Linked DNA regions of Coturnix japonica. The protein of the gene in region 1 purifies or fractionates together with the protein of each later gene. This does not show direct contact. Links are inferred from orthologs where the notes say so. Each region holds a gene or a part of one and is shown on either strand. Other genes may lie near its edges. The genes, in order: STK38 and MOB2.

What was found.
Region 2: the proteins of STK38 (region 1) and MOB2 purify together in Homo sapiens (affinity purification with mass spectrometry; 7 studies listed by BioGRID and IntAct, with this or other methods). This does not show direct contact. The link is inferred for Coturnix japonica from reciprocal best matches to the Homo sapiens genes STK38 and MOB2.

The regions. Positions count from the first base shown.
Region 1 is NC_029541.1:1,927,260-1,931,770, forward strand, and holds the start of STK38 (serine/threonine-protein kinase 38), read right to left. Parts: upstream 2,855-4,511; 5' UTR 2,670-2,854; intron 1,871-2,669; 5' UTR 1,869-1,870; coding exon 1,738-1,868; intron 256-1,737; coding exon 204-255; intron 96-203; coding exon 1-95. UniProt on the Homo sapiens protein: Serine/threonine-protein kinase that acts as a negative regulator of MAP3K1/2 signaling. Converts MAP3K2 from its phosphorylated form to its non-phosphorylated form and inhibits autophosphorylation of MAP3K2.
Region 2 is NC_029520.1:10,354,984-10,359,358, forward strand, and holds the start of MOB2 (MOB kinase activator 2), read right to left. Parts: upstream 2,982-4,375; 5' UTR 2,964-2,981; coding exon 2,827-2,963; intron 1-2,826. UniProt on the Homo sapiens protein: Stimulates the autophosphorylation and kinase activity of STK38 and STK38L.

The DNA.
Region 1 (4,511 bases):
TTCAAAGACTCAAAGTCCTCCAGGCCGAGCCTTGTCCTCTTCAAGCGAAGGAACTCTGTTTCTTTCTGTGCATGTGCTGATCTCCTGATCCTTTTCTATAGTCCAAGGAGAGGAAAACACAGCTCTGCAGTCACTCCAAATACAGATGGTAGATGCTACCAAATTCACTTAACCCTTAAAAGGAATTTCCCCTCATTAATTACCTCCTCATCTTTCAAGCCTTCTTCCTCCATCATTTGTTCGAGCTTCTTTTGCCTTAAGGAAAGATAAACAGCAGAAGAAAGTTGAATTCTTGAACATTTTCTCTCAATCCCATCACAAACCCAGCACAGATCCCGTCTCTGCCTGCTGTGAAGGGAGTAATAAATGCATGTGATAGATAAGAGAGAATCAGACAAAGTTAATCCTGAGGAACCTCCTGCTGCTGCTTTAACCACGCTCCAGCAGTTTCCATCTCTGCTGCTGCTAATCCAAACCTGCTGGAGTTTCATGTGTCTGATTGAGGTGTGCACTGTCACTGTATGGAACACAGGCCGAGGAGATGTGAGGTCAGTTCCCACCCCTAACTTCAGCAGCTGGATGTGAGGCTAAACCCACATAAACACTCCAGCATCAAAGTCTCACTTCTTCCATGGACACATCTGTATCTGGGAGCAGAGAAGGAAACAAGAGTTCGGGGTGGAAAAGGGATTCAGGGCATGATTATCTATGGGAACTCCTTCCCAATACTGAGTGCATTCAGGCTGAACTGGGGTTGTGAGTTTTGGGGTTTTCTTTGGGTTGTTTTCTCCTGCCCTGTCCATGTTGCACCAAAGGAACACAACAAGTCTGCTAAATTCCCTGCCTACATGCAAGTCACCCTCAGCGAGATCCCCTTCCGGCCCCTGTGCCACTGCACAGCTGCTGCTGTGTGATAATATTCTGGGCTATCACTTCCACCATCAGGCACATCTCTGCTGCTTCACCCTCACTGCAGTGCCCAGACATCTCCTCTCATATTCAATACAAGGCAGCTCAGCACAACAGAGCGATGCTGAAATCCCCCCTAAGCACCTCAACACTTCAGCTCCAACCTGCACAGCCACACGTGGAAAGCAAAGCCAGGAGTTCAATCAGTGATATTGTTTGGATTAGACCTCAATCTCTCTTCTATGTGAAGCCTGGAAGACCATGAGTCCACAAGACAATCCTGATGTTTGAATTACATCCAGGTTCCTGCAGTTACTGTCGTTACCAAGCAATCCCTTTGGGTCGAGCTCTGTTTTTGGCTGTGAGTCTGCAGGCAAATAAACACTGATACCTCTTAGAAAACTCTTGATTATAGACTGCACAGCAAGCTGGGAGCACTGCAGAGACATCCCTGTGCTACGACTCCAGGGTACGCAGCAAATTAGAAGCTTCTGGACAAAGGAAAACAAAGATAACACCTGTCAGTGCAATGACTTGGTATATTATGACCAAGCAGCTTAAGGGGGTGCGATAGGTTCAGTTAACCCACGCATAAAGGCAGTGCCAGGTGATGGTGGTGCAGCCTCACAGCAAAGAAACAGCAGAAAGATGGGGGGATTTCTAATTGCAAATACACTGGGACCAACCCAAGCAGGTCTTCTACTCAGTCCATAACCTGATCTGATGGATCCCTGTCCATTGCAGCAGGACCCAATGACTGCTGGAGATCCCTTCCAACTCTATGATAACAGGCTTTAAATGTGCTTAACACACCCCGTGTGCTGTTACCTCATCTCCCGCTCCTCGTGCTGCGCTATGAGGTTGCTGTAGAAGTTCTCCAACGTCACCTTGGTCATGGTCACCCTCTCCTTGGTGTGGTTGCTCATAGAGGAACACGGTGTCGGGCCCGTCATGGCCATGGCTGTAAGGAAAGGAGGGAACAGGTGATATGAGAGCAAACAACCTTCAAACCAAAGGGATGTTCAGGAGGGAGATGCTGGATTGCAAGGACCGGAGGGGATGTTAATAGGATGTTAATGAGACTCGAACAACCAGAGCTCAGATTGAGCAGGGAAAAGTCTTACAAAATAAAGGTGAAGTCAAGCTTCCTGTTTTGCACATTTTTGACCTGAGAATAAGAGGGAAGGAAACTTAAGAAACACGGTGCCTCAAAACCCACAATTTCAGGCAGCGCTGAAAGCAGTCATTGTTCCCAATGAGTTTCTTAGTGTTTCCCTGCTAATAACACCAACCCATGAGCTCCCATCCCAAACACAACGACCTCACCCAGCTCCTAATACCCAGCAGAGCAACCAAGGAACGATTGAGATGCTGCTGCTTTGAAGGACTCCCCCCATTTACACTGAATCCCCCCCAGATCCGGAGCACTGAGCTTCGCTTCACACCCAACAACAGCAGCCGGGACTTTATATGGGACCATTGCGGGCACTTTGCTCACCGAAATGCACCAAAACGCGATGATTTGAGCCCAAAACAAAGCGAGACAGCACTCCCATTGACACCCCCCCAACCAACCACTAGCAGAGCGCTGTTTGGTTTTGCTTCCCACTGAGCAAAGTGGGAGCGATCCCAGGTTGGGGGGGGGGGGAAGGATAAACATCAAGACTGCGGACAAAGGGCCCCACCCGGCAATACGAGCAGCCCCCCCTGCAGCCCCCACCCCCATTAAAGGGGCACTGAACGGTGATGGTAGCGCTTACCGGAGCCCCCCCTTGGGAAGGGGGCGATGAGGAGCAGACCTCTGTGATCACAGCGGAGGAACCCGGGGGGGCAGGGATGTGATCCAGGCCAATAGAGCACACCCCGTTAAGAACCAAAGGAGACCCCCCCCCCCACCGCGACCACCCCTATGAGCCCTAAGAGCCGCCGCCGCACCGCGCATGCGCCACCATCCTCCCCACCTCCCCCCTTGACTCGAGGGGCGGGGTGAGCACTGAGCCCACCCTAATGGGGCGGCGCATGCGCGCTGCCACCCGAAGGTGGGGTGGTTTTGGGGTTGTATTGTGTTATTTGGTTCGTTTGGGTTTTATAAAGGAACACGGAGCGGTTTAGGGTGTGGGGGTGTCTTTATTATAACACCTTGTGGCTGGGGGGTGGATAAACGCCATGCCTGTGTGATGGAAATGGCAATTGTGTCTCTAAAAGGCTGGATTTGAGGTTAAATCCAACCCAGAGTTAAGGTGTATAACACAACTGAGCCGTGAGCCATCTGTACCTATAGGAGGAAACACAGCCGGGCTCTGGATGGTGGTTTTCTACCTGTTAAGGAGGGAACCTGGTCCTTAAATGACTCCCTGTTGGACGCTGATAAATAGGGAATGGATGCTGGACACTGATAAATAATAATGGAACAAATAGACGCTGCTTTTCTCTTGCAGTTCACCTTTGGATGAGTGCTTTTCCTTACAGCATCACGTATCTAAAGCTGAGCTGGATGGAGGCTAAGGGGAAAAGTGCTGGGTGCTTGGATTCCTCTTCCTACCAAACTCTTTGATTTGAAGGAGATCAAAAACGTCTCGTGGGTTCCAATCAACCTCTGGGGTCTTCAGACTCTGCAGCAAATACTTCTTCATAGGGGGGAAGCCTTGCTCGTCTTCCATCACTTCCAGCAGCTGCTTTGAAGTCTCATCTCTGCTGATGCTGTTGTAGGGATCTGAGGGATCTCTGGTCTTTTGTGGATCCCAAATGGCATTTGGAAGGGAAATATCCCTGCTGCTGGCTGTGTGCACGCTACCCAGGGCGTTGTGGAGCCACATGAGGCGCTTCAGCCCTTGAAATGCCCTCCCCTTATCATGCATGAGCTGGTGCTCAGTCACTGCTCTTCGACTGCAACAGCAAAAAGGGTTCAGTTAGCAAACAAGCACGGCTGGTTCTATGGCCCTGTTTCAAAATCACTCATTTGCATCCATCAATCTGAGGTTCTCTGTGCTGAGGAAGGAGGTTAAGTCTATATAGGATATGGAGGACAACCCTGATGCCACACTCAGGGTCTGAGCCATGCCTGAGCCCCATGACTCTATGGGGTGTCTATGGGGCTCTATGGGGCTCTATGGGGTGTCTATGGGGCTCTATGGGGTGTCTATGGGGCTCTATGGGGCTCTATGGGGTGTCTATGGGGCTCTATGGGGCTCTATGGGGTCTCTATGGGGCACTATGGGGTCTCTATGGGGTGCTATGGGGTGTCTATGGGGCTCTATGGGGTGTCTATGGGGCTCTATGGGGCTCTATGGGGTCTCTATGGGGCTCTATGGGGCTCTATGGGGTGTCTATGGGGCTCTATGGGGTCTTTATGAGGTCTCTGTGGGTCTTTATGGGGTGCTTATAATTCTCTATGGGTGTCTGTGGCCCTCTATGGGTCTCTATGGGTTCCTATGGGGTATCTATGGGTTTCTGTGGGGCTCTGTGGGGCTCTGTGGAGTCATTATGGGTCCCCAAGTGTTCCCCTAACGCCCCCCCCCCCAAGTAATGGCTGTGCAGGTAAAGAGCTATGGGGCTCTATGGGGCTCTATGGGGTTCTATGGGGCTCTATGGGGCTCTATGGG
Region 2 (4,375 bases), on another chromosome or scaffold:
ACTAACACATCCTATTCCTCTGCAATTATGAATTATAAAGCTATCTTAAAGAGCAAGTCTCATAACTGAATAAACAACACCCGTCCTTATTGCTGCTTTGAACTTCATGAATGATCAATTGCTATTTGTAACACAAAAGTTTGTGATATCTTTCAAAAATGCATTGTAGAGCTGTCAGACATAAGTGAGCAAAACATTTACGCAATACTGATTCCCAGTGTAATTGGATTGAAAATCTTTTCTGTATGCAACAAAAAGTGTATTTTGTGCACTGTAAAGACCAGAGCCTTTCACCAGTATTGTTATTAAGGCCTCGCTCAGTAGAAAGATAGAAGATACCAACCAACTAGAGAAAAGACTTCAGGTTTATTCCGATGCTAAATTGAGATCTTACTGTAATGTGCAAATAGCCCATTTTGTTCAGCTTTCTTCCCTACGACTGACCTGGGTTTTTAAGCACCTCATCAAATAGAAAACAGCACCCTGAGAAGTTTTGCTGTGTGACCACGTAATCCTGTAACTGCTCGTTAATCCCTAATAAATTCACTATTGTTTATAAGCTTCAGCTTCCGTTTTTGTATATTAAGCACTCTGAGGCGATCAGAGACACTTGGGCTGCTGCCCTTTGTGGTATGATTAGAACTTACCCTTCCCCCACACTCCAGAACACAAGCACAGAGAGGACCAGTAAGGAATAAAGCAGATCTCATTCTAAATCTTCTATAGGATAAACATGACACAAGCTTGAAGGGTAGAGATCTAGAACAGAAGCAACTTGTTATTGCTGCCTAATATAACACCCTTGCACTTGAAGACTGATAACTTGGCATCATGAAGTTAAAATACAGACAGTGTTTCTTACACTGAACAATAAGAAAGCACGACTAATAACACAATAAGTTTATGTGAACACACACATGTAGAACTGCAAGTGTAAGCCTGCACATTACCCCAACAGCACAGAATAAGAAAGATCAAGGTACTTTTATTAGTGACAACTCATTTAGCAAAGAGCAATCATCACAAGGGGGACAACACCAAGACACAGACCAATACAACCTGCTCTCCTGAGGCACAACAAGCAGTGGACACAACAACTGAGTGGTGAATGGGAACAGTATGTTTTCCTACTATTTCTACAGCCTTTCCCTTTGCATATAATCAGAATTGCTGAAGTTTTCACTGGAGAAAGGCTGAGTGAATAACATTACCCAGGCTTCTGTTGAGACAGAAAAACATCCTCTTTCTTTCTCAATAAACAGCAAGAAGGATGTTTTCATACATACTTTGTTGCTAACAGCAAGAATAACGTAGGCAGCTTAATAAGTCCATCAGGCCTCTCTCTCTTTCTCCTTTCAAAATATCAATTCTCTCCTTTCCTCCAGCACCACAACTCCCATCCCTTAAAGAAATCCACAAACTGAACTCACAGAGATTTAAGAAGAGCACCAGTGGGACAAAGTGGGTTTGGTCAGGCAAGAAACATATCAGGAAATAGCTGAGAATGAGTACACAATGTACAAATGACTCAGGATCCACTCTCACTGCAATGGGAAAACAGGGAAGCCTTTTTCCAACATGACGGATCCACAAACTTGGAAAAGAAAGAAAATATAGCAGGAATATCAATATTTTCATAGCAGCTTCGAAAAGCCTAAAATACTTTTCCAAGAGGAAACCAATATTTTAATATTTTGACACCTTGGTTAAACTCTGTTTTGATTCCATTCTGCTTTACAATGTAATTTGCTCAAAATTAGTCCCAGAGCATAACCAAGCCATTTTGAGACAGCCAAACATCCTGCCAAGTATTGGATTTGACTTCTTTCTGATCGTAGCACAGCTCTGACACTCCAGCTTCTACTAAGAAAATGAAAACAGGCCACCTGCACTGGGTGGTTGGTACAGAAATAATAGCAAAACCAACCTGCCATTTACACTAATATTTTCACTGAGTGTACCAACACAGTATAGGTCAGAGGGGTGCAACATGAGCATAGTGGTACATGGCATACAGACATCTCCTTTCCCATATCTCCTACTAGAAGTAGTGCACTTCTGCTGCTCAGCCTGCTGGAGGACAACCCTGCTGCACACACACTGAGCATTCACCTCCATCAGATCGGGGGCCAAGCTTGCAGTCAAGCAGAGCAGGTACTGACAGCTGCTTCGGGAGCTCTCACAGCTGCTTTGAAGCTAATTAACAAGTGCCATACTTTCAAGAGTTCTTCCAATGATTTCTGCTGCAGATCAGAGGCGACACGGGCACGTGCAGCCTTCCTTACAGCTCAAATCTAGCAGCTGTGACACAAGAGCACATCACATAACCAAAGTGACAAAGACGTTGTTCAGGCACAGGATTAAATCAACGCAAAATAACAATAATAATAATAAAGGACCTACAAGCAGCAGAAATCCCCGGCAGTCTAGTTTAGCTAAAGCATAAACCTACAGCTCATGTGATTTGGAAGCAGAATTATTCACAGTTCACCTAAGCACAGGTCACGAGCACAGCTCATGCCAGCTGTAACCAAACGCGCTGCTCCAGCTCTCGTTGGCGCATCGGGGCGCCTTCACCGAGCCGCTCAAACCTAAAACCGGCAGCGCAATTAACACTATTAATCCCAGGCTATGGAAGCCCCCCGGCGCGGCTCTCATTTGGCTTAATCCCCTCCGAGCTCTCCTATTCCTCCTCATAGGAAGCCGCCTGCATTTCGGCCCGTAGGGTTGCCTAAAGCGGTCCCAGCTCCTTGCTCAGCCTGCAGGAAGCCCGGCGCCCCGCCGACACCCTCCGTTCCCACGGCCAAAAAAGGAAAGTAAAGTTACTTCTCCCGGCCGAGGCTGAATCCTCCGCACCTCTTCCTTCCCTCCGGCCCGGCGGGATACACCCGGCTGCACCGAGCTCTTCCTCCGGGGCCACGGCGGGATGCGACACAGCCCGACGGCACACACCGCTCCGTCATTCACCCCCCGCCAGGTGCCTCCATCGGAGCTCGCACAACGACTCGCCCTCGCGCCCCTGTATCTCGCGGCCGCTCCCCGAGGGGAAGGGGACGCGCAAGGGGGGCCCTACTCACCCCATAAGCCAGTCCATGGCTGGGTCCCGCCGCCCCGGGTGGCTCCCGCGGCAGCCGCGTCCTTCTCACCGGCCGCTCATGAGGTCCCGACTCGCCCCGCCCCAGCGGCCGGCCCGGCGGGTGCTGCCCGGCTGCGGCTCCGCTAACCAAGCGGCCGCGCTCCTCGGCTCTGACACTCGCGCACTCGGGCGGACGGAAGTAAACACACGGAGCTCGCCCCGCCCCGCAGCCGGACAACCCGGTAGTGGCACCCTCCGCACCCCGGTCCCTTTCCTGCCGCATCCTGGGGCACGCTGGGAAGTGTAGTGCGGTGCTTTGCTTGGGGATGTCAGTGATGGAGAGGGACAATCCATTCCGTTCCAAATGTCTCTGTGGGTTATTTCGGAGCCATAGGCGGGGGTTGGGCTCGATGAGCTTGGGGGTTGGACTCGATGATCTCTAGAGGTCCCCTCAATTCTTCAAATCTCTAGAGGTTCCCCTACAATTCTGTGACTCTGTGTTTATTGGTGTGTTCTAAAGCAGAAGTACAGCCACCTCCTTCATTGCTCCATTCTAAGACAAAGCTATTTGCAGATCTGTGTGTGATCACACACGTAGGACACAGGTTAATTAAAGGCTGCTGGTCCGGGTGCTGACAGCTGCATCCTTGGGTTCATTGCATGATTGTTAGCATCTTGAATTTGAGAAAATCTTAATCTCCATATCTTAGAGTTAGGGTACTATGAATAGGCTGAGGCTGGACTTGATGATCTTTGAGGTCTTTTCCAACCTGAGTAATTCTATGATGCCTTGATGCTTCTAAATCGTTGTTGCTCGGGACCAGCAGCTTCCCGAGGGCAGCACTGGCTCCTGGAGGCTGTGAGGATCCACCACTACTTTGTGGGCTCTGCTCTGACATCTGCACAACGCACACGTGCTTTATTTTGCCTTTGTAAACTTCCATAGTTTGAGTTGCCTTTGTATTTATAACACCAGAGGATGGGACAGAAGCCCGATGGCAGCAAAGCACCGCACACTTTGCAGAGCGGCCGGGACAAAGGTCTCGCACAACACAGAAAATATCAGATCAAACCATCTGCAGAAAATAATTCTCCTTTCTGCAGACACTTGATCCAGTCATTTTCTGCAAACATTAGGGAGCAGATGTCCCTCATTTGAATTATGTTTTCTTGTCGGCCTTTGTTGGGAATATTTTTGGCAGGGTATTTAAGGATGAGCTCTGCCCGGTTTTACTGAGGGGTGCATTGTACCCTGAGCGGGGCGTTGAGTCATATGACGCATGTTTTAAAGCAGAGATG